Linked DNA regions of Rhinolophus ferrumequinum. The protein of the gene in region 2 interacts with the protein of the main gene of each other region in a pairwise test. Links are inferred from orthologs where the notes say so. Each region holds a gene or a part of one and is shown on either strand. Other genes may lie near its edges.

What was found. The genes of interacting proteins can lie anywhere in the genome.
Region 1: the proteins of BCL2L13 (region 2) and TMEM86B interact in binary tests that used the Homo sapiens proteins (3 or more experiments, as listed by UniProt). The two-hybrid records come from large-scale screens. The link is inferred for Rhinolophus ferrumequinum from reciprocal best matches to the Homo sapiens genes BCL2L13 and TMEM86B.
Region 3: the proteins of BCL2L13 (region 2) and PLP1 interact in binary tests that used the Homo sapiens proteins (3 or more experiments, as listed by UniProt). The two-hybrid records come from large-scale screens. The link is inferred for Rhinolophus ferrumequinum from reciprocal best matches to the Homo sapiens genes BCL2L13 and PLP1.

Annotation. Positions count from the first base shown.
Region 1 is NC_046298.1:48,413,553-48,420,711, forward strand, and holds TMEM86B (lysoplasmalogenase), read right to left. Parts: upstream 3,123-7,159; 5' UTR 2,246-3,122; coding exon 2,195-2,245; intron 1,940-2,194; coding exon 1,657-1,939; intron 1,035-1,656; coding exon 652-1,034; 3' UTR 318-651; downstream 1-317. Other genes in the region: PPP6R1 (serine/threonine-protein phosphatase 6 regulatory subunit 1), read right to left, coding at 4,166-4,169, 4,256-4,327, 4,408-4,518, 4,840-4,921, 5,073-5,143, 5,248-5,428, 5,508-5,647. UniProt on the Homo sapiens protein: Catalyzes the hydrolysis of the vinyl ether bond of choline or ethanolamine lysoplasmalogens, forming fatty aldehyde and glycerophosphocholine or glycerophosphoethanolamine, respectively and is specific for the sn-2-deacylated (lyso) form of plasmalogen.
Region 2 is NC_046293.1:91,128,298-91,135,738, reverse strand, and holds the start of BCL2L13 (bcl-2-like protein 13), read right to left. Parts: upstream 3,080-7,441; 5' UTR 2,915-3,079; intron 1-2,914. UniProt on the Homo sapiens protein: May promote the activation of caspase-3 and apoptosis.
Region 3 is NC_046284.1:51,141,987-51,148,988, forward strand, and holds the start of PLP1 (myelin proteolipid protein), read right to left. Parts: upstream 3,123-7,002; 5' UTR 2,835-3,122; coding exon 2,831-2,834; intron 1-2,830.

The DNA of each region.
Region 1 (7,159 bases), on a different chromosome or scaffold from region 2:
CCTCTGGCTGCTCAGAGCAGCCCAGCTGCAGGGAGAGCTGTTGTTCACAATCTTAGCTGTAGAGGGCGCAGCTCACTGGCCCATGTGGGAATCGAACTGGTGGCCTTCAGCGTTAGGAGCACAGCGCTCCAACCGCCTGAGCCACCGGGCCAGCCCTCGAGAATTTTAGTCAGTGCACACCACTGTGAGTGTACTTCATTGTCACTGAATCATACACCTTAAATGATAAATTTTGTTGGAGGTAAAAAAGGAATAAAACGTTTTTTCTTACTGTGATCACCGCTCTCCCTAACACCCCTTCCCAAATAAAGGAGATGTCGTTTCAATGTCAGCTTTACTCAGGTAACAAAGATAGATTAGGGCCAGAAGGACGGGGGTAGGCGGCGTGGGAAGCCACCTGGGGTCACGGGAGCAGGCAGAGGCCTGGTTGAGGGGCCTGGAACCTGGAATCAGAACAGAGGGAGGGTGTTTGGTGTGGTTTCGAATTCTGCAAACGGTTCCCACACATCTCCAAATGGATCGGCGCCTGCAGATGGGAGTCTGGGAGCCTGGCTCCCGGACCCGAGGGCATTTCCCTCACTGGGCCTTTCTGGGAGGTCGAGGTCCTTGCAGGATAGGAGGGGGCAGATGTCTGCATGCCTGGACGCCCAGTCAGTTGGTCTTGAGCCTGGGGCTCTGGAAGGCCGACAGGGAGATGAGGAACTGGGCAGCGTAGTAGGTGGCCATGACCACCAGGCGGGCGTGGGGCAGGGGCTGGATGAAGGTGTTGCAGGCCAGCACGGTATCCGAGATGGTGAAGAGCAGCGCTCCCCAGCGGGCACTCCCACCCCTGGCCAGGCCACGCCACAGCATGGTGGCGAGGGCCAGGGTATAGGCTGTCAGGAGCAGGACCATGTCGGGGGAGAGGTGCAGCCGCAGGAGGCAGTAGAACGGGAGGGAGGCCAGGACAACAGGCAGCAGGAGGCCCAGCTGCAGGGGCCTGAGGCCAAAGGCCCAGATGTAGAGCATCTGAGCCTTGGTGAAGGCAGCCACGCCTGGAGGACACAGGTTCAGGGCACCCAGTGAGGCCTTCGCTGCATTGCCTCTCCACCCCCGAGCCTGAGGGTCAGGACTGCCCCCGAGCACCAGCTCCCACCCCGGCTGTGCCACCCCGCTTCCTTGGTGGCCTCGCCTCCCCTGCCCTTGGGCCACGTGGTGGGATCTGTCCTTAGGCTGCTCAGAACTGTCCACTGACACCCCTCCCCCACCACTGCTTCCCACTTGCTCCATGACCAGACCTGTTTGCACGCACACACCAGGCACACTCCCACCTTGCTTGCCCCTCTGCCTGGACCATCCTTCCTGCATCCCCTCCAAGATGTCCCTGTCTCAGCAAGGCCAACCTCAACCAGTCTACTCAAGGCTGTGACACCTAGACCTCTGTTGTTTCCTCCATGCCTGCCACACACCTTCTAAAGGAAGGCTGCCCAGCCCCTCAGTGGACTGAGCTCCATGAGGACAGGGGTCTGGATGGGTGTTGGTCACTGCTATACCCCAGTGCCTTTGAACGCCACCTGGCTATGGCAGGTGCTATCGGGTAGCCGCCCCTGGACCCCAGACCCCTCCCTCAGTGTGGAAGTCCCAAAGAGACAACATGGCCCTGCTCCTCCTGCCTACCGTAGGGGAAGGCCTCGGGCCAGATGAGAAAGACGTCCCCACAGGCTGAGAACAGCAGGGCCACCTGCAGGAGACAGCTGTAGCACCCGCCAGAGCAGGCCCGCAGGAACCCCACCAGGCACAGCACAGGCAGGCACTTGACCAGGGCACCAACCCAGGACGGTGGGTCCTCAGGGATCCAGAGGAGGAAGTAGATGGCACAGGTGAGGAAGAAGGGGCTCAGGCACCTGACCAGGTGTGGCTGCTTCGGGAACAAAGGGCTGCTGAACCACTGGAGCTCAGCCTAGCCCCCTGTGATGAGGCTCGGGAACCCACCTGACCTCAGGGACCCTGCCAGCCCCCGGCCCTTGGAGGTCAGGCCCCACCCGGCCAAAACTCAAGTCTTGGGGCTTCCATCCCACCCCCACCTAGGGATCCCAGGACTTCCAGTCCCACAGAACCCAGCCTATGGGGAGGCCAGGGCCCCCCGATTCCTCCAGGCTGCTTGAGTCCCCAGGAACCCAGGCCCAGCCCCCCTCCCACACTCAGGGGCTCTCACTTGGACTGCGAAGTGAGGATTTCGGGGCAGCCCCTCTTTCCGGGCGTCCATATCGGCCTGTGACCCCCCAGAGTGGTCTGTATGGGCACCGGTGGCTTTGGAAGTGGAGGGGACTGCGTACGGTTACACGTTAACCCGGGAGTGTCCTGTGGACTCTGAGACTGATATCGGCTCAGGGAGATGCTTCCCCCACCCGGCGATGGCCCTGCCTGGCACTTGCTGATAAGGTGGCCCATCAGGTTGCAGGGGTCACTCCTCCGGCCCCCGCAGGACCTAGTTTCCTCCCCCTCTGCCTGGGAGGCTGTGGGTACAAATGCCTGTCCTCTAGTCCTGTGCCTAGCCACTCAATGCCCTCCTCTCCATGTGGGGTGGGGGGACCACCCTGCCAGAACAAGAGGCAGGCTGCCTTCTACCCCTCACCACTCTGGGACCCCAAGAAGGCCACCCAGGGGTCCTTCCTACACTTGGGCCTCTGGATGGTTGCTTCCCGGTGAGAGCCCAAACCACTCTGCACCACCCCCATGCCGTGGCCTTCACCATAAGCACTTCCTGATCAAACGCCACAGTTGTCTGAGGTCATCATCAGCCTGCAGCCCACAGCTTTGGATGTCACCAGAACAGTCTTCCCACACAGGTCTGGTCGTTAACTTCCCCTTTGGAGGGCACAGACCTACTGGGCACCCATTGGCTTCACTCGCTCGCTTCCTTGGCTGCCCCCAGCCTCCCACTGCTCCACCAGAAAGGAGGTGGCTCAGGGCACGTAGCTCCACAAGGTCCCCTCCGCGGCCGGCCAGGGTAGGTGACGGGTGAGCAGTGGACATGTGGGGTTGGGGAGACTAAGGGGACCCTCGGAGACGGCTCCCAGATAAGGCTGGGCAATGCCCAGCTCCTCCTCCCAGGAAAGCCCTTCCTGGTCTAAGCAGAAGTCCCACCCCCAAGAGTGTGTGGAGTTTTAAGAGCCTAGTTCCACATTCTGAAGGTCAAACCCCAGAGGCTGAGGGAGGTGCGGGGACAGTTCAGGCCCCCCCCACCCCATGTCCCAGAGCTCAAGGTCTGAATGGCAGGACTCTTAAACTGTCTTATTTATTTATATTTGCAATATGAAATAGAAGCTCGGCACGAACACACAACACTCACGCCAGCCTGGGGACAGGGAGCTGGGACAAGGTCACTTGGCAGCTGGGCTGGACCCCAGACCCTCAAGCACAGGAGGGGGACCCCAGCCGGACCCCTGCCAGACCCCCACGCTGGGGTCCATGGAGGTGCAAGGGTCTCATGAGTGTATCAGGGCCTCATGGGAATGTCACTAGGGAGGCCCCCTTGGACTGGGACCCCCAGGTCCCAGACAGCCACCAGGCCCGGCAGAGGGTCCTTTAGCTCCCAGCCTGGGGGAAAGTGCAGGGTCCAGGGTGAGGGGCTGGGCAAAGGCACGGCCCCCACTCGGGCCCTCCCCTCCAGGTGGACCTGAGCTGAAAGGACGAGTGTGGGTGTGGGTGTTTGCACGGGGTGAGGAGGGTGGGGAGGAAGGAGCATGGTGGGAGGAGAGGGAAGACTGTGTCTTGGGAACCCCAGTGAAGCCCCAGCTGGGGCAGGGTGATGGTCCAACCTCCCACCCCGCCTGCCCTGGGGCGTGGCTTCCTTCTGGCTCTCTTCCCACCCACTCTCTCCTCCCTCAATATATATATATAATATATAATATAGGTCTCTCTCTCTCTCTCTCTCTCTCTCTCTACTGGACTCTATATCTTTATTCTAGGAGACAAAACTCCATCATTTCTTTTCTCAGTGCAAATGGGGGGGGGAGGGGACCTGTCTCCCTGGCACCAGCCTCCTGGGAGTCCAGAGGAGAGAACGTGGGGGGTGGGGATGGGGGGATGGGGCAACGGGCCATTGTGGGACCTGTCCTGCCCCCGCCCGGGCAGGGTCCACATGCAGGACGAAGATTTGGCTGCCACCACCGGGACCAGGCAGTTACCTAGGAACCAAGAGGGACACCTGAGTGAGGAGCTCGCCGGCGCACCCGCCGCCCCTACCCCCGACCCCCTGGCCCCTGCCACTCACTGGGAGCCTGGGGACACTGGCCCTCCCGGGGCAGAGGTGTTGAGCATTGGAGGCAGCTGGAGGGCCTGGGCACTAGCAGGGGAGAGGAACATGAGGGGTCAGTGCCTCCTCTCAAACCACCCCCACCCGCTGCAGGGTCTCTCCATGCTCACCTCTGGTTTTGGGGGAGCCGCAAGGGCTCTGGGCTCTTCTCCCCCTCCACGGTCTGGGGGGGCTGGTAGGCCCCAGGGGCTGGGACAGAGGTAGTAGGGTCTCTGGTTGCACTGTGGGAAGAGGTCAGTGGGGTTACCGTCAGCTGTTTGCTGAGTATTGAAGGAAGGCACAGCCCAGGGCCTCACATCCAAAGACCCTGGGAGCTGTCCCAGGCAGGAGCTCAAGGTTGGCTGCGACGGGCTCCACACACTCCTGTCCTTCCTGGAAGCCTCTTTCCTGCCCCTGAGGCTGGGCTGGGGGCCCTGGGCTCCAGGATACTGTATGGCTCCCATGTGGGTACAGGTACAGCCCTGGGGCAGGGACGACCCAAGGGCCTGACTCTATTCACCTCCCCGACGCGGCCCCCCAGAAGCTGCTCCCCAGCCAGTCACCTGTCCAAGGACTTGTGGGCAGAGCTTGTCCCTCTGAGGGTGGCCTGGAGGTCCCCGAAGCTGACCAAGGCCCGACAGGGGGCTGTGCAGAGGAGAGAGGCCCAGAGATGTGAGACTTGGCAAGTCCTCCAGACTGGAGGTGTGTGTAAGGCCAGGGGACAGCAGGGGGAGGGCCGCAGCGGGGGGGACGGTAGGCAGGAGGGCATGCTGGACGGACAGTGGCAGGGGCTCACCCGAGGGCTCTGCTACTTTGCCGCCATCTGTGGCTTCCTGAGGTGCTGAGGTGGGTGTGGGGTCCTGAGACCTGGGAGGTGAGAGAAACAGCCCAAGTGGGCAGCTGGGGTCAGCCCTGGAGCAAAAGGGAACCAGAACCTGGCTCCGCCTCCCGGTCCTGCCTCCTAGCCTCACCTGAGCTGCAGGGCGTTGGGGGCTGCAGGGCCGGCCCCGTTGGAGGCAGGGAGGTCCTGGGGCATGCAGAGGGGCCCCTGGGAAACAGGGGGCCCAGAGCACAGCTCTTTGTCCCCGGAGTCTTGGGAGCCAGCCAGGGCATTTGTAGGCACTGGGTCAAAGGTAGCTGTCCAGCTGGGGCCTGGTGTGGGGGCAAGAGTGAGCACAGCAGGCAGACACCCGCGAGCCCCTGACCACACCCTGCCTGCGTGTTCACCCACCCGGAGGCTGTGGGCCGGGGCTGGGGTAAGAGGAGGGCCCGGCCCCTCCACGAGCCACCCGGCCGTCTTCCTCGTCGTCCTCCTCGTCGTCCTCCTCCTCCTCTTCCTCCTCCTCCTCGCTGTCTGTGCTGCCTCCACTCCTGCCCCCAGAAAGCAGCCATGAGCTGCTAAGCTGGGGCAGGGACAGAGTGGGAAGGCACCCTGTCCCCACCTCCCGACCCCCCCAGAGCTGACCCCAGGGAGCAGTCTGTGAAGGAATCAACAGATGATAAAAATGGATTGGGGGGACACACACAGCAGGGAAACCCCGGGATGAACGGGTGAGGGCCTCCCTAGGCCCAGGGTGTGCCAAGATGCCCAGAGAACAGCCCACAATGGGCAGGCCGGTGGGCAGCACGAGGGTCAGTGGAGAGTGCCAACGCCAGCATTACGGGGAGAAAGGCCCCGCCTCATCTCGCTCACAGGCCCTCCTGGCGCCTGAACCGCCCTCGCAGGTGGGCTGACTTGATGCTCTTCCCCCAACTACAAACTCGGGAGTACCTTTGTCACCAGTGTATCCTCAGCTTAGAGCAGCACTGGCACGTGCAGCTGCTCCCAAAACACTGCTGAGTGTTGACTAACACATGACTCGAGACCATGGACAAAGTCCTACTGGCCTACATGTCCACCGATGGGGAATGGTTGAGCAAATGCTGAACGCACCCACCATTCGCCACGGGAGCAAATGGTGGAAAGGAATACATCTTTTCTCACTGAAAATAAACTAAGACATTCGGCAAACGGGGGACAGAGGAGAGCTTCCCAATCCCGTGCACCACAACCCACAACTAACACCACACTCAGTGGTGGAAACCGAACATTCACTGTTGGAACACTGTTGAAAGTAAAAAAGACCTAAAGACATGGAAACACATCCCATGTTCATGGATTAGGAGATGGGATATCATTAAATGGTACACTCCCAACCTGACCTACAGGTTCAAGGCCATCCCTCTCACAATCCCAGCCAGCTTCCTTATTGAAACTGACAAGCTGATCCTAAAATTCACACGGAATCTCAAGAGAGCCCAGAGATTCAACACAATCTTGAACAACGTGGCAGGACTCATACTTCCCAACTTCCAAACTTACTATAACACAACAGTGATCAAGACCAAGTAGCTCCGGCACAGACAGAGGAAACCCTCCACACAGTCAATCGACTGCCGACAAGGGTGCCAAGACCATTCAGTGGGGGAAGGACAGTCCTTCCCACAAGCGATGCTGGGACAGCAGCATTCCCACACACGAAAGAATGAAGCTGGACCCCACTTCACACCACGTACAAAAAAATTAGCTCAGAATGGACCCAACTTTAGATGTAAGAGCTAACACTATCAATTCTCAGAAGAAAACACGGGTGGATCACTGCCTTGGATTCCTCAAGGACACACATAAGGGCAATGAACTTGGTTAGTTCCATGATGGCACACCCACAGATGGCAGGTGAACATACCCACACCTACCAGAAGGATGAACCTCAAAGCAGAAGGGACAAAACTGATCTATAGGACAAGATGTCAGGACAGCGTCAACCTGGGAAGGGTGGACAGTGGCCGGCAAGGGCCACGGAGGTCCATGGGGCCATACAGTCAGGATCCGTATACTCGTCT
Region 2 (7,441 bases):
GACTCACTGGTGGTTTGAGTAGGGAATTTTTTTAAAAGTTCCAGAAATTAACATGAATCCAATAACTCTATTTTCTTAATCCATGCTTTACTAGCTCCTACAGAATTCTAAGACTTTTTCCAAAAGAAAATAGGTAAAATTAAATAATCCTAATAAAAACTGTAAAATTGCAAAAATTCACCCCATCCAGCTGAGAAATGCAACTGGGCAACGTGTCATTTTTAAAACTCAGCAAAACCTAAGTATTCTAATGTAGGCTATCCCTTTCCAACTGCAACATGTCTAATTGAAACACTCCAGTTCAATCTTGTGTTAAGATCTGCCCAAAAATGTTTTCACTCAGCAGTTGGCACTCCCAGATAATAATATACTTATGGAGGAAAGCCTTACTCTCACTCTCTCCCCACAGACATACAAACACAGTCTGACTTTCACAGTAAGTTAGGATTCCCATATGTGTAGATAGCTTGTGTAAAAGGAAGACATAAAATTCAGTTACTGTTACACTCCTAAGTATATACGCCAGAGAGAAATAAAAACACATGCCTATATAAAAACCTGCACAGGAATAGTCATAGCAGCATTATATATAAAACAGCCAAATAGTGGAAATATCTGCCCATCAACTGATAAATAAAAATGTGATATATTCATACAACGGAATATCAGGCCATAAAAAGGAATGAGGTTCTGACATATGCCATAACATGGCTGAACCCTGAAAACATTATGCTAAGTAAAAGAAGCCAGTCACAAAGTCCAAATATTACATAATTCCACTTATATGAAATATCCAGAATCAGCAAATCTACAGACAGAAAGCAAAACGGTGGTTGCCCAGGTAGGGAAGGTGGGGGAGAGTGGAAATAATGACTCCTAATGGGTACCAGATTTCTTTTTGGGGTGCTGAAAATTGTGGTGATGGTTATACACTCAGTGAATATACTAAAAACCATTCAATTGTGCAATTGGTGAGTTGTACCAGTATGCGAGAATTATATCTCAATAAAGCTGTTTAAAAGAGTCCAGCTCCCTTCAACTCTGTAATATGTATTACTTAAGAATTCTTGGTGACCATATATTTGGAATAAGATATGAACCAAAATCATGTTTGGAAAACAGTCATAAAAAGCAGGATGGCAGTACTAATTGTTTAAAACTTCTGTTTCGTACATTGAAAATATTTCATAAGAAATATCTTTTTAAACAATGATTATTATAGTTGCAAATCACTTGTCCTAACAACTTCTTATTTAAGATATTTAGGGCAGCCAGATGGCTCAGTTTGTTGGAGTGCATGCTCTTAACCACAAGGTTGCTGGTTCGACCCCCGCAAGGGCCGGTGGACTGCGCCCCCTGCAACTAAGATTGAACAAGGGCAACTGGACTTAGAGCTGAGCTGTGCCCTCCACAACTAAGATTGAAAGGACAACTTGACTTGGAGCTGATGGGTCCTGGGAAAAACACACTTCCCTGATAGTCCTGGAAAATACACACTGTTCCCCAATGAAGTCCTGCTTCCCTTCTCCAATAAAATCTTAAAAAAAAAAAAAAAAGATATTTAGTAAATATTGACTAACCGGTGTGCTAGTGATCACATTTTTTCTTTACAAAACAGGATGAACTCAACCTTACATATCCTCCAACTGAATTCAACTACTGAGGTAGAGTTCTCCATGAGAAAATGAGTCATTAAAAAAAAAAATACTTAGATGGTATTTACTGAGAGTAAAAGGATTTTCAAAATCCTTAATGGCCTATCATCAAATGAAGAATATTTCATAACGGTGTAAATATTTTCAATTTGCAGGTGCAAATGTGCAGTGTATATTTATCCAACTGTGTGTATGAGGTATAAATAGTTCACTACTTACACAAACACTTGCTTAATTTTCTGGGAGGAAAGAAGAAGGTATCAGAAGGGTGTGGCAAACTATCCAAGGTCACACAAGTCAGAGCAGAGATCAACATTCTGGTTTACACCAAACTCCCAGGGGCACTCTTACTAAAAATTTCGCAAAGACTTTCTGTTGGTTGCTTTATGTCATTGAAGTGGGGGTTAAGGAGGGACTGTCAGTTTACTTCTAAATAGAGACGATGAGATAGCTATTTTGGAAAAACACACACTTGTGCGGGGAGTGCTTAAGAGCTAAACAAAGCTAGCAGTCAGGAGCCTGTGAAGAGCTGGCCAGTTCCGTCCGATTTCCAACCCCGTTAAAGCCTCAACTCAAGAGTCTAGTTTTCCTTCAGTCAGTTATTAAAGAAAAGAAACTTGGGATCTCCTTGGAATGGTGAGAAGATAGAAATCAAAGTAAGAAACAACACAGTGTAAACTATTGCATCCAAGGGTATGGAGGGTTTTTCTGAAAAAATGATAATGGGTGTCAGAACAGCAGTGAAGAAAGCATAAACAATTTCTAACACTGTTAAGAAGAAACGACTAGGATGGGCAGAGCTAATCTATAATTCTAAACGAATCGCAAGAAAACCTTTTCCTCGACCAAAAAGAAGCCCACGTTCCCCAGCCTGGTTCTAAAAATGGAGCCGGGTTTTCGGTGTGAGGGTATCGGTGGGGAAGAACCGCGGTGCAGAGCCGGAGCCGGGATCCTTCGCCTCCCGCAGCCCACGCAGGAAGCCCCGCTCCACAAGCGTTCGCGACGGGACCTTGCTGGACAGGTCCAGCTACGGTGAAATGGGCCCTTTAAGCTTCTAGAACCCTCGGGCGAAGAAGCGCCAGTACACATGCACACTCATTCACTCACGGTCAGACACGGACACTCACTCGCGCGTCGCCGGAACCACTGAGGGGCCGGTGGTTCGGCACAGTCTCTGGACACCTCCCTACCCAGTGAAAAACCGCCTGAGGAGCTGAGTGAGGACCAGCTCTGCCTGCCCGGAACCCCACTTCCCTCACCTGGCCCTGGCCCCTGCCCCAGAAGAGATGAAAGAGGCGGCGGCGGCGGCGGCAGCTGTTTCCGACAGGGTCCCCCAGCGGCGGTGCCTGCTGCGACCGGCGACCCTAATCTACCGCCGCCGCCATGTTGGAGGGTGAGGTCACCCCCGGCGTGCTTCCGTCACCGCCGGCGCGGGGCGGGCCGGGGCGCCGTGGGGCGCCGGAAGGGGCGGCTCGTTTTCCCCAGCGGAAGTACGGACCTTGCAGTTTTGGAGGTGTCTTCGTGCAGGTGTGACCCAGGAGAGTCGACCTCTCCGATCCCTCTTTTCCCAGGAGTCGCTCAAATGTGATTCCTGGGGTTGGTGGAGGTCATTGAGGGCTGATGGAAGGGAGGTGGGATACTGACGAGGGGAGAGGAGCTGGCGATGCCCACAAGAAGCATTGCTGCTTCCAAGAACTATGTTCCGTATCCACAGAATATGTTCTACGGCTGTATTAAACAAACAAGTATTGCGCTTTCAGTGTGTAATCGACCGTGTTCGAGAACTGTCAAGAATGTCAGGAGAGCTGCAGAGTTGGCAACCACTTGTCAGAAAAGATTTCTGGGGGTTGGGAGTAGAGAGGTCATTCTAGGTGGAGGGCCCTGCTTGAGCAGAAGCACTGTGGAAATAAAAGGAATCTTCAGTGGTAATCCATTGTGTTCGTAGCGCCCAGCGCTGGGCCTGGAATAGAATTTGCTAATGGATGTTTATTTACTTGAACCCAAGCGTCCTTTGTGGCAATCACTGAAGGTAACTAGTTGAGAGGGCCTAGTATCTTTAACCACGCTTTAGGGAAATCCAATTGTCAGTGTGTACATGAGATAAGTTGGAAGGAGAGCGTTGAAGATGAGTTAGAATGCTGTTGCAAGGAGGCAGATCAGGAATGATAAAAGCCTGATGAGGAGTGACTGCTGATGGGTACAGGGTTTCTTTTGGGGGTGATGGTTACACAGCTCTGTGAATATACTTGAAACCATTTAATTTTACACTTTAAATAGGTGAATTGTATGATATGTGAGTTATAGCTCAATAAAGAAAACAGAACCTGAACTAGTATGAGAGTGCATGGGAATTGAAAAGAAGGCTAGAGCTGGCCTCATAAGAGGCTTTAAGCCTGTGTGACTGAGAAAATGGCGGTGCATTAATAGAGGTTTGCCGAGAATAGGCTGAGTGGGCTAAGAAGGCCGTCAGGAACTCCCTAGCAGTACCTAATAACCAGTCCATATTTAAATGTTCGCGATTGTCCTAATGGCTTTTATAGTTTAAAAAAGGGGTCATGCATTGCATTTGGTGTTACATTTTTATTAGTCTCCTAGTCTTATTTTAAATAACATTGACTTTTTGAAGTATACTCATACAATGGAAATTACACAGCATAAAGCAAAAATGAATCATTGATATGTGGCATACAAAGTAATCTCAAAAACACTGTGTTGAGGGAAAGAAGCCAGACACAAAAATGTACATGCTGTGTGATTCTGTTTATATAAATTTCAGAAATAAGCAAAATTAATTAATGGTTATAGAAATCTGCACACTATTGCCTGGGGCAGGGGATGTGGGATTGACAAGAAAGGAACTTTCTAGCATGATGGGAATATTCTGTATCTTGATTGGGGTGGTGATCACACAGACATCAGAACTCATCTAATTGTACTTTTTAGGTCTGTGCAGTTCATTGTATGTAAATTTGTCCCCAAAAAGTCACATGAAATAAATCTGTGTAATTATGTTACTAATTTGATAAACGGTTAGGTTCATTTCTTTCAGATTGCTTTCAGTTTTAGGGTTTGCTTTTTTCCCTTTTTTATTTTACTTTTTAAATGTGTACTATAAGGATAGTATGTAGGTTAATGAAACAGAATAGCAATTCCAGAATGGTCAATTGATTTTTGACAAAGGTGTCGAGGCAATTCAACGGAAAAAGGGGATAGTCTTTTCAGCAGATGGTGTAAAGTAATATAGTCTTTTACAGAAATTATTTTACTTTCATCACAGCAGTGTATGCGGTTTTGTTTTGACAGATCTTATGAGTGATACAGAGTTCTAGCCTACAGCCAGATGTGATTATAAATTCTAACCTCTAGACTCTACTCATTTTATTCATTCTCATTCCTCATTTATTGAACGCTTCCTATGTAGTAGGCAGTGTGCTGGATGAGTGTAGGTCAGACATGGTCCCAGTGAAGCTGACATTATCATTGGAAAACCAGACAAAAACCTAGAAATTAAAAGAAAAAAAATTTAATTGTGGCATATCCTAAAGTAAATAAAAAAGGGGCTGGAATAGAAAATAAGGTGAAAAGGTGTTTATGAAAAGCTCTCTCCAAGAAGGGGATATTTTAAGTTGAGACCTAAACAATGAAAAACAAACTAAGGGAGAATAGAACTTCTCAGGCAAAACGTTTGGTGTTTTCCAGGAACTGAAAAGAAGCCAGTTACTCTGAGGTGGCTTGCTCTGAGGTGAAAAAGAAGCCTTGCTCTGAGGTGGAGAGCAAGGGAAGAGGGGTGATGAGCTCAGACAAGCAGGCAGGGCCAGGTCGAGCCAGGCAGCGCTCACACGGACAATGGTGTAAGGTGTTCACAAGCAAATAGAAGCCACTAGAGGATTATAAATTCGGGGGTGACTAGATGCCATCTAGGTTTTCACTCTTTCTGCTATGAGGAATCTTGGTTGGAAAGTGGCAAAAAGTGCATGTGCCTAAGTTAGAATTTCACTACTTTCTGCTACCATTTGTTTTTTCTCTTTAAAATTAATTCCTCAACTTTCAAAGAGAGATGATTTACTTTCATCTCTGTTAGGTCTCTGAATGTTAGGTCTCAGAGAGCCATGTCTGCAAGAAAACAAAATATCTGTTGGCCTGCGCCTGCAGACAGAGCCAAACTTGCCATAACAGAAAACGCCTCAAAACAGCTACAGGCAGTTGCCTGGCAAGCAGTCAACCTTTTCTGTTCAAACAATGCTACCCTGTGAGCACCGCCCCCTATATAACCCCCTTCACCTCCTTCCTCAAGGGCTATAGCCTTCTTTGCACGGCCCCATAGACTTTGCTCTCTTACAATAAACTTTCTTAACTTGCCTGACCGTGCAGGCTCCTTTATCGGCTGACCTATCAACCTCCTGTGTCTCTCTGTCTCTCTCTCTGTCTCTCTCTCTCTCTGTCTCTCTCTCTCTCTCTCTCTCTCTCTCTCTCTCTCTCTCTCTCTCTCTCTCTCTCTCTCTCTCCAGACTGAATCCTCAGCTTGGGAGCAGGTGAGACAAAGAGCTAGTAAACCATCTCTTTGTGACTAAGCTGACCTGAATATAGGTCAGTGCTTTTGGTGCTTTGGTGAAGCCATAAGTAAATAGGCTTATCGAGGAGTGGGATTTTGGAATTTACCTGAAAAACTGTTTTAATAAAGCTTCTCCATAAGACCTAAGCTAACACAGGCGGATTTGGAAAACTACCAACTAATCTTTGTACATACTAACAATATCTTTTTCACTCCAGAGACTGTACCTGTGAAGCTTACCACGTTCTTATCCGACAAGACCTGGCCTGTTCCTTGGTGAATCAGCAAAATACTGCAGAACTATTTGTCAAGAGCATTAACATGAGGGAGGGGAAACATGCACAAAAGGGGATGTTAACTATGTCTGTAACACTATTTCTGTTATTTTAAAAATGAAGGCTGAGGCTGCTGGATAGCTCAGTTGTTTAGAACTCTGAACAACAGGGTTGCCAGTTCGATTCCCACATGGGCCAGTGAGCTGCGCCCTCCGCAACTAGATTGAAAACAGCAACTGGACTTGGAGCTGAGCTGTACCCTCTGCAACTAAGATTGAAAGGACAAACTTGACTTGGAGCTGATAGGTCCTGGAAAAAACACACTGTTCCCCAATAAAGCCCTGGAAATACACTGTTCCCCAGTAAAGTCCTGTTCCCCTTCCCCAAGAAAATCTTAAAAAAAAAAAAAAAAAAAATGAAGGCTTTAGGCAAATGGGACAAATACTAATTGTCAACTTGGGGTGGTGGTACATAATTACTATTTGAATTATTCTTTGTACTGTTGATGTAAGAAACATCCAAACCTGTAGAGAATTTTTATAAGTTTATGTGAGCCAAACTGACATGGTGGAGAGCAAGATATCAAATGCTCTGGAAAATGAAAGTTTTGCAGCTTCTTTTATGCATTTGAAAATAAGGAGGGAAAGTAAGATTACATGATGGTGGGAGAAAGGTGTGAACTGGATTGCAGGATAGTTAGCAAGTTTATTTGCTTTATTGGGGGTGGTTATGGTTTCTTTCTAAGGTGTGTTAACTTGGATGCACAGAAACAATGGACAGGCCTTGCTGAAGGCAAAGATGAGCCTTTACCAAAGAAGTTATATGCCTAGGGCGTGACTACCCACCATGACCTGCTCAGTTAGAAAGTTATGATCAGATAGATCACCCTTTGAGGTTTCTTCCAAAGAACACCTTTGTTTTCATCCACAGTACTTTTCTGTATTTTTAATGTCTCAAAA
Region 3 (7,002 bases), on a different chromosome or scaffold from region 2:
AACTATACTTCCTCTCCCACCCATCTTCCAGGGGTTTCTTGAGTCTATTACTACTTAGACAGTTTTGAGAGAGTAGTTCTAATTGTCGGGCTGTTGAGTAAACCTGTTTTCCTAGCGCAAACCTAGGATGAAAGCCCCTTGAAGCAGAGCAGTCTTTTCTATCAGCCTGGCTCCCCAAGAGCTCCTCTGGCTCTGCAAGGCCTAGGTCAGAAGTGGGGTAGGGAAGACTATCTGTGATCATTTCAGACAATGTCTCTAAGAAGCATAAATGAACGTGCTGGTTAGGATCTGGTTGCTTTTTAGCTCCTGGCATTCTTACGGCATTCTTGCTGTCATGGGGGGACTCAGTTAGTCTTCAGGTGTTGTGTAAAACTGGACCCCTGCTCCGCCTGTACACTTTTTGCCCGGGCTACACCCACTTACTCTGAGCCAGCCAAAACTACACTGTTCAGCAAACAGCCACCTTTAGAGAGAAGCATCACAGTCTGATTACCAGGGTAACAGCCACTGTTCTCAGAAACAGGCTTGCAGAAGCCAACATTTTGCTCTTCAGTAATGGCATTGTGTAACTGAGCAGAGAATAATCAGCTACTTCCCTTTGGCTCTTTTGCAGTTCCGTTGTTATCCCAAAGACTCATTTAGAACATTCTCCTCCCAAGTCGGGACAAGATTTAATGAACTATCATTTTCCCCATAAACCTTTTGTGCAGACACTGCTGAATTCAGTGTTCCTCTTTACTTCCAATCCTATGGGATTCTATATGGTTGAGGTAGTGAGCTCCCTGTTCCTGGAGGTGATTAAGAAGAGGCTGTAGGAATGTTTATTTGGCTGTTGTAGAAGGGACTCCTGCATTGAGATTTGGCTCAGACAGCTTCTAAAGTTCCTTTCAACCCCAGATTCCATGATATAATTTGTCTACTACAATTGTTAAACAGCTACTCACTCCACTTCAGAAGTAGTAACAGTTCAGTTCCTTGTTGGAGATGGTCTATTATTTACAAAGTATCTGAGATACTTTGTTATTGAATAACTGAAAACTCAATGACTACTCCATCATATGCACCTGGCCCAAGTATCTCCCACCATCAGAATCTGGGATACAATACGAGACCTCAACTCTGCCTTTATCTGTGGCAATCTCCGCGGAGGAAATCATCCAGCTTCCATAACAAGAAACTGTCCCTGTGGTCATCTTATTTGTTCCTGTCTTTTCCTCGGGGCTGTAACCCCCTGAGGAAGCAATATTCAGCATGCTTCTTTACTCTCGCTCTGTTTTTAATTCACAAACTACCGAATCAGCTGCCCTAACATTAGGTGACATTTCTGATGTTACCTTGGGCAAAAATTGACTTTCTCCAACATTTGCCTCTCACCTGGCCACACTCAAGTGGTCAAATGATTCTTACCCAAGTGTACAAAGTACAGACCAAAAAAAAGAAAACAAGAAAAAGAAAAAATAACCACTTTGGAAAAAGTAAGAGTCAGCCTGCACACAAGTTATTGTATAATAATCAGTATTATCATGATTTACAATTGTTATAGAGCTTGCCCATTTTCAGAGGACTTTCACATTTTTATTACTTGATTTTTACAACCCGAAAAGTATACAAAACAGTTGTGATCCCCATTTTCCAGATGAAAAAGTGATAACTCACAGTGACCTACCCAAGGTCATGAAGTTCATAAGTGGCAGATCTGGGATTCCAACCTGGTTGTGTTGTCTAGTCCAGTGCTCTACCTTCTTAATTATCCTACCTGAACATATGCTTCCAAGAGCTCTTTCGGTGTTTCAGGATGAAACAATCTAAAGGCTGACACCAGCTTAATGGAATTGAAAACCTATCTTCCTGGATGCTCCTTGAGTCTTCTGGGTACTACATTTGATGGTGAATACACAAGGCAATTGACTTTCATTTCATTTAGGATACATTCAAGCTGCTCCTCTTGTTTTTCCAGATGGGAGCAACGTCTACACATCTCTGTGGCATACTGTGTGAACAAAGACTCTTCTGCTCTGCACACCTTGCTCTGAGTAGACACTACCAGAGATCAGAACTCGTAGCTTCTCTCTTTTATCATGGAACCTAGAGAAGCTCTCAGTACTCAACCAAGTCAGCAAGATCCCTAAGGTCCCTGCAGCCTCCTTGTCAAAGCAGGGATTTAGAGTCTGGGCCATGCCCTCAGAAAGGGTAAGTCTGTGATATTTGCTAGATATGGTCACCCATACACATGCACGCACGTGCACACACACACACACACACCCCTACTCATATCCATTCCCTGTGGTAAAGCCATTGAAGACTTTATTTTCATTTCCTGAACTGAGATTGGCCTCCTCAGCTATGGCCAAGCCTGAATCCAACTTGCCCAATTCCCCAGTTTCCTACTGTTGCAAACAGGTCCAAATTTTGTATCAAGCAAGCAGTTATTTAGTATATCTGAGGGCTAGCCAGCACTCAGTTGCTTCCAGCAGAACCAGGGATGTCAGCTGACCTGGCCATTACCAGGGCCTGGGAACCAGGGTGAAAGAGAAGGTAGAAGGAAGTGAGGGGGTAGGAGGACACATGACCACATCCAGCCCGCTGGGCACTCTCTCCAAGGACCTGTGGGACTCTCCACGCACTGCTGGAATTCTTTGGCAATAAAGCATCAATCTCAATACAGCAGAGAAGGAGTTAATCCAATTGAGTGCTAAGGAATTAAAAAGAAAACAAATGCCAAAACACAACTCATTTAAACTATTGAAAACCCGGAACCCCAAAGTTGGAAATTCTCTTGAGCATTCCTGTGCCTGCTTGAATCTTCCATGCTAAAGTTTTTGAAACTCACCCATGGCTTTGGGACTCTGACTGCAATTGTAGCCGGCTGGCTAGTCTGCTTTGCGGCTGACTTTGTGCAGCTGGAAGGATCCTGGTCTCTCCAGTCTCCTTCTTCGGTCCTTTACTTTTTCTCTCTGAGTATCTTTGTCCTCTTCTCCAGCAATGAAAAGGGCTTTCTGATTGACAGCCAACCCCCTTAAAGGGACAGGCCCGCTTTCCTCCTCCTCTCCTCCTCCCCTTCTCCTCCTTTGTCCCCACCTCCTCGGGGATACTCCCTGCTCTAAGGGCTCCATCTTCTCTTTCTGCCTTTCACTGCCAATTGTTTCATTTTCTTTTTTTTCCTAAGACTTGTCTGTGTGGAATTTCACTTTGCTGAAGAGACATCTGGAAATGTGGTTTTGGGGTGGAAATAAAAAGAAGAGGTCCTGGAAGCCTCCAACTGATCCTCAGATCTATTTGGTGTAGGATGTGACCGCACAAGTGTCAGAAGCCATGGAAATGGTAGCTCTGGTGAAGGGTCAAGGTCAAAACCCACATGCTATCTCCCAGAGTCTTTCCAACTCTGGCCCCAACCCCACCCCTCACTCATAGCTGCCCTTAGCCTTGTCCACCTTTCCCTTCACCTGACTCCTTAGCAAATAAGCACCCCCCCACACCCAGCTCCATAAACACAATAAAGAAAAATTTGTATTTTAAAATAATTTCCTCCAAATCCTCCAACTGAATGAGGACAAAATACAAGCTGTTAATTCCACGAACAGATTGTGATAAAGCTAGAGGAGGCTAGAATTATAATAATTTTATCGAGAGGACAACAGAGACCCAGAGAGCGGGCAAGACCTGTGCAGGTTCACAGAATAGGCTAAAGAAAATGTCAGAGTTAGGAATGTGGGTGATTTCCAAGGAGGGTAATTGACTTTGAGACAAGTCAAGAACATGATCTGGGAATCACGTAGTCAGTATCCCATCCCGAGAATGTAGTATCATCAGAGAGCTGAGGCCAGGCTGGTGAGAGGCAGGGAGTGGGTTGGGTTGAAGCAGCAGGTAACGGTGAAGGTGGAGAGAAGGCGAAAGTAAATATAGTGCTTGCCTCAGAGAAAGAAACACTAAGAAAAAATGGCCAAGCAGCAAAAATAGGGGAATAATATATGAAACCTGCTTTACCAATAATAGGTGTTTCTAAAGACTATGAAGGTATTTGAGTGCCCAGGGCCAAGTGGGATTAGCCAGGGAAGGTTTTCTATTATAGAAAAGATGAATCTTAACCAGTGTCTATCTAGGCTCCTTGTTAGTGTTTTCTATCCCTTCAGGAGCCTCAGAAAGGCATAAATCTCTTGAACCTGAGGCCCACATCCTACCATGGGTGGCCTGTAAGGAAACTGGTTGGCAAATAACTGGAGGAATACCTGTTGGAAGACTCCAAGGAAAGAAGGTATGGACCCCTAGAGTTTTTCCTATGGCTTTGCCTTGGGGTCAGAAAGGAGAGGAAGGAGGTGCTGAATAGAGCTTAGAATCTTCCTGTTGGGGGAGAGAGCAAGATTGTGTCTTACAGTTTTCTCTTTGAGCTGTGACCTTGGACTTGTTTCTGGCTTGGGCTCTGTCATTAGGAAAAGAGTGAGTCTCATGCAGATGCCCTTGTGGGTCTACTAGAGTCCTGCATCCTGCAGTGTTTAAGGCTCTTATAGCAGCTCAAGGAGAAAGGACCCCTGTGAAGGCTGCCTCTTTTGCAGAATAGTACAGTAGGCTTCCAGAGCAGATCAGACTTAGGCCGTATGACTGAGGGTACAGAGGCCCGGGACATCTGACCTCTCCAGCCTTTCTCTCCAGCCATAGATTTTACCTGCTGAGGTAGCTGAGTTGTAAGATTGTGCCAACAATTAACTTCTGGATGGTTCTTGTCAGAATGGCCCTGGAGAAGGAGGATCAAGAGCAAGAAATCCCCAGATGTGTGCCCTCAGCTCCTCAGATGACAGAAGGAACTGAGTCCAAACTTTGGAGGTTCTGATTTAAGGATGAGGGAGATGGTTTTTCACAGCCCGAATAGATGAGATAGCCCTGCATGCAGGGGACATTGCTCATGCTGAGCCCTCTCACAAATCTGCCCCTGGATTCTCAGCAGCAGCAGCTCTGGGGACTCCTTGGCTGTTCGGAAAAAAAGATGTATTCCCAATAAACCCGCAGATACCAAATTTTCAACTATGTTGACCTACCACACATTTCTCTTCGTCTTTCCTCCATCTCTATTGCCTTACTATTCATGCTGTCTTTTCCCCAAGTCTCAATCTCTCTGTGTCTCTGTTTCTCTGTCTCTGTTTGTTTCTTTTTCTCTCTCTGCACTCCTTGATGGAGTATGCCTTCTTGTCTCCATCTTGTTCTTATGCCCAGGAATGGGAAAGGGGCTCGGCCAGGTGACTGTGTCATGCTTACTGTCCTTGGTGCCTTAAGATTCCCAGTTCCCCAGAATCTAGCGTGCTGCAGGCAGTTACTCTGGAGTCCTGACACTCTGCCTCAGCACCCACTCACCACCCCTTCTCCTGAGCCTTTCCCACAGCCTTCATAGGGTTTCTGGTTTCCAGACTCCCAAAGGGACTTTTTTATCCACCCAACCCCACCTATTCCTGTGATTCTGTTTCCAATGGTTCTACTGGGTGCCCTTGGCAAAATGTTTTCCAGTCCAGCTGGGTACCCAGCAGTGCCCAGGGATTCCTCAAGAGGGCACTGCCAGCCTTCTTGGTGGCAGCCTGCTGCCTGCACTGGGTGCCTGTAGGAAAAATGGAGGATTTTATGAAACTAATAAACAGTTGGCTTCACTCAATTCTGATAGTATCTCAGAGGAGAGGATCTTGGCCCCCTTGATCATAGCTTACTTTGGTTGCGCAGCTTTCTTGCAAATAATTACAAAACATTTGGGTATTACCCTCCACTCTCTGCTCTGTGATCCCACAGTACCTGGTTTTTGAAGGCCACTGGACATGTGGGTTCTCTTTGCTCCGTTGTATAGAGTGAACTCTGAAACTCAGGGAAGTGAGTTTCTCCCAGGAAATTAAATAAGGGCTCAAGTGCCCAATCTGGTGGTCCACTTCTCCATGTCTACATAAAAGATCGCAAAGGGGAACAGAGAAGGCACAATACCAGTGAAAGTTGGGGGGTCACCTGCCAGCATTTGGGCTCCTGGAGCTGAGGTTCTGCTTCTCCTCCCCAAGATAATGTCTTCCCAGATCAAGCTTAGGAATGCAAGAGGCTTCTTCTTACAGCTTTTCTAGCCCTGACACAGAAGGCTGGTTGGCTGGCTGGCTGGCTGGCTGGCAGGCAATATATTATGCTCTATGTACTTGCTGATAGAACTCCCCACACCCAACCTCATGCCGATTGGCTTAGCCGTGCCTTTCTGGCCAAGAGAACTGAGGGCTGAGGGCCAGAGATGTCACATACTTTGAGCTGGTGTGGGCGGGGGGAGTGGAGGCTGCTCTTCTTCCTCTCCTGAAGATTCAGGGAGCAGTGCAAGGATGGATGGGGGCAGGTGATGAGTTGGATATGTATTCGAGAAGGGGAGATGCCCATGACTTGGGGATAAAGTGCAAGGTAGACTGGAAGCCAAAATAATCAGATTAATAAGCCCAGGAAAGGAGTGCCTGGGGAGCACCAATCAGCTACTAGCACCGTGGATAAATCAGTTGTCCACATAACCCACCTCCACCAACATGGAAATTTGGCCAGCTTTGGCACAGTGGGCCCTGCAGAGAGGCGGCATGTTTGATATGATCTCTGAGCACAGCAGAAATACTTCTACTGTCCTTGGCTGTCAAATACCCAACTCCTGAGGATCAATGTTTTTTTGTTCCATTTTTCTCATGGGGTACAGAAAAATGCCACCCAGCAGGCAAGGGACAGAGCCACCTCGAGGTAATGCATCTTTCCAGACTCACATTGCTTCGAAGTTGCTTGAGAGATTGTGCTGCTCCAAAAGAATATCTGAATAGAAAGCCTCTGCCCTGAGCAAGAACAGCCACTGGGAGGATGAACAGGCTTCAGGCTGCTGTGGCCCGAGTCTCCAACTCTCTGCACTTCTCAGGCTAGCAGGAGGCCCACATTAGAAATCCAGGCAGGGCAAGTGGTATGCAGTTTATAGGATCCGTGGGATTCAAAATCAGTCAGTGGGGATCCGATAATACTAAGGACTTT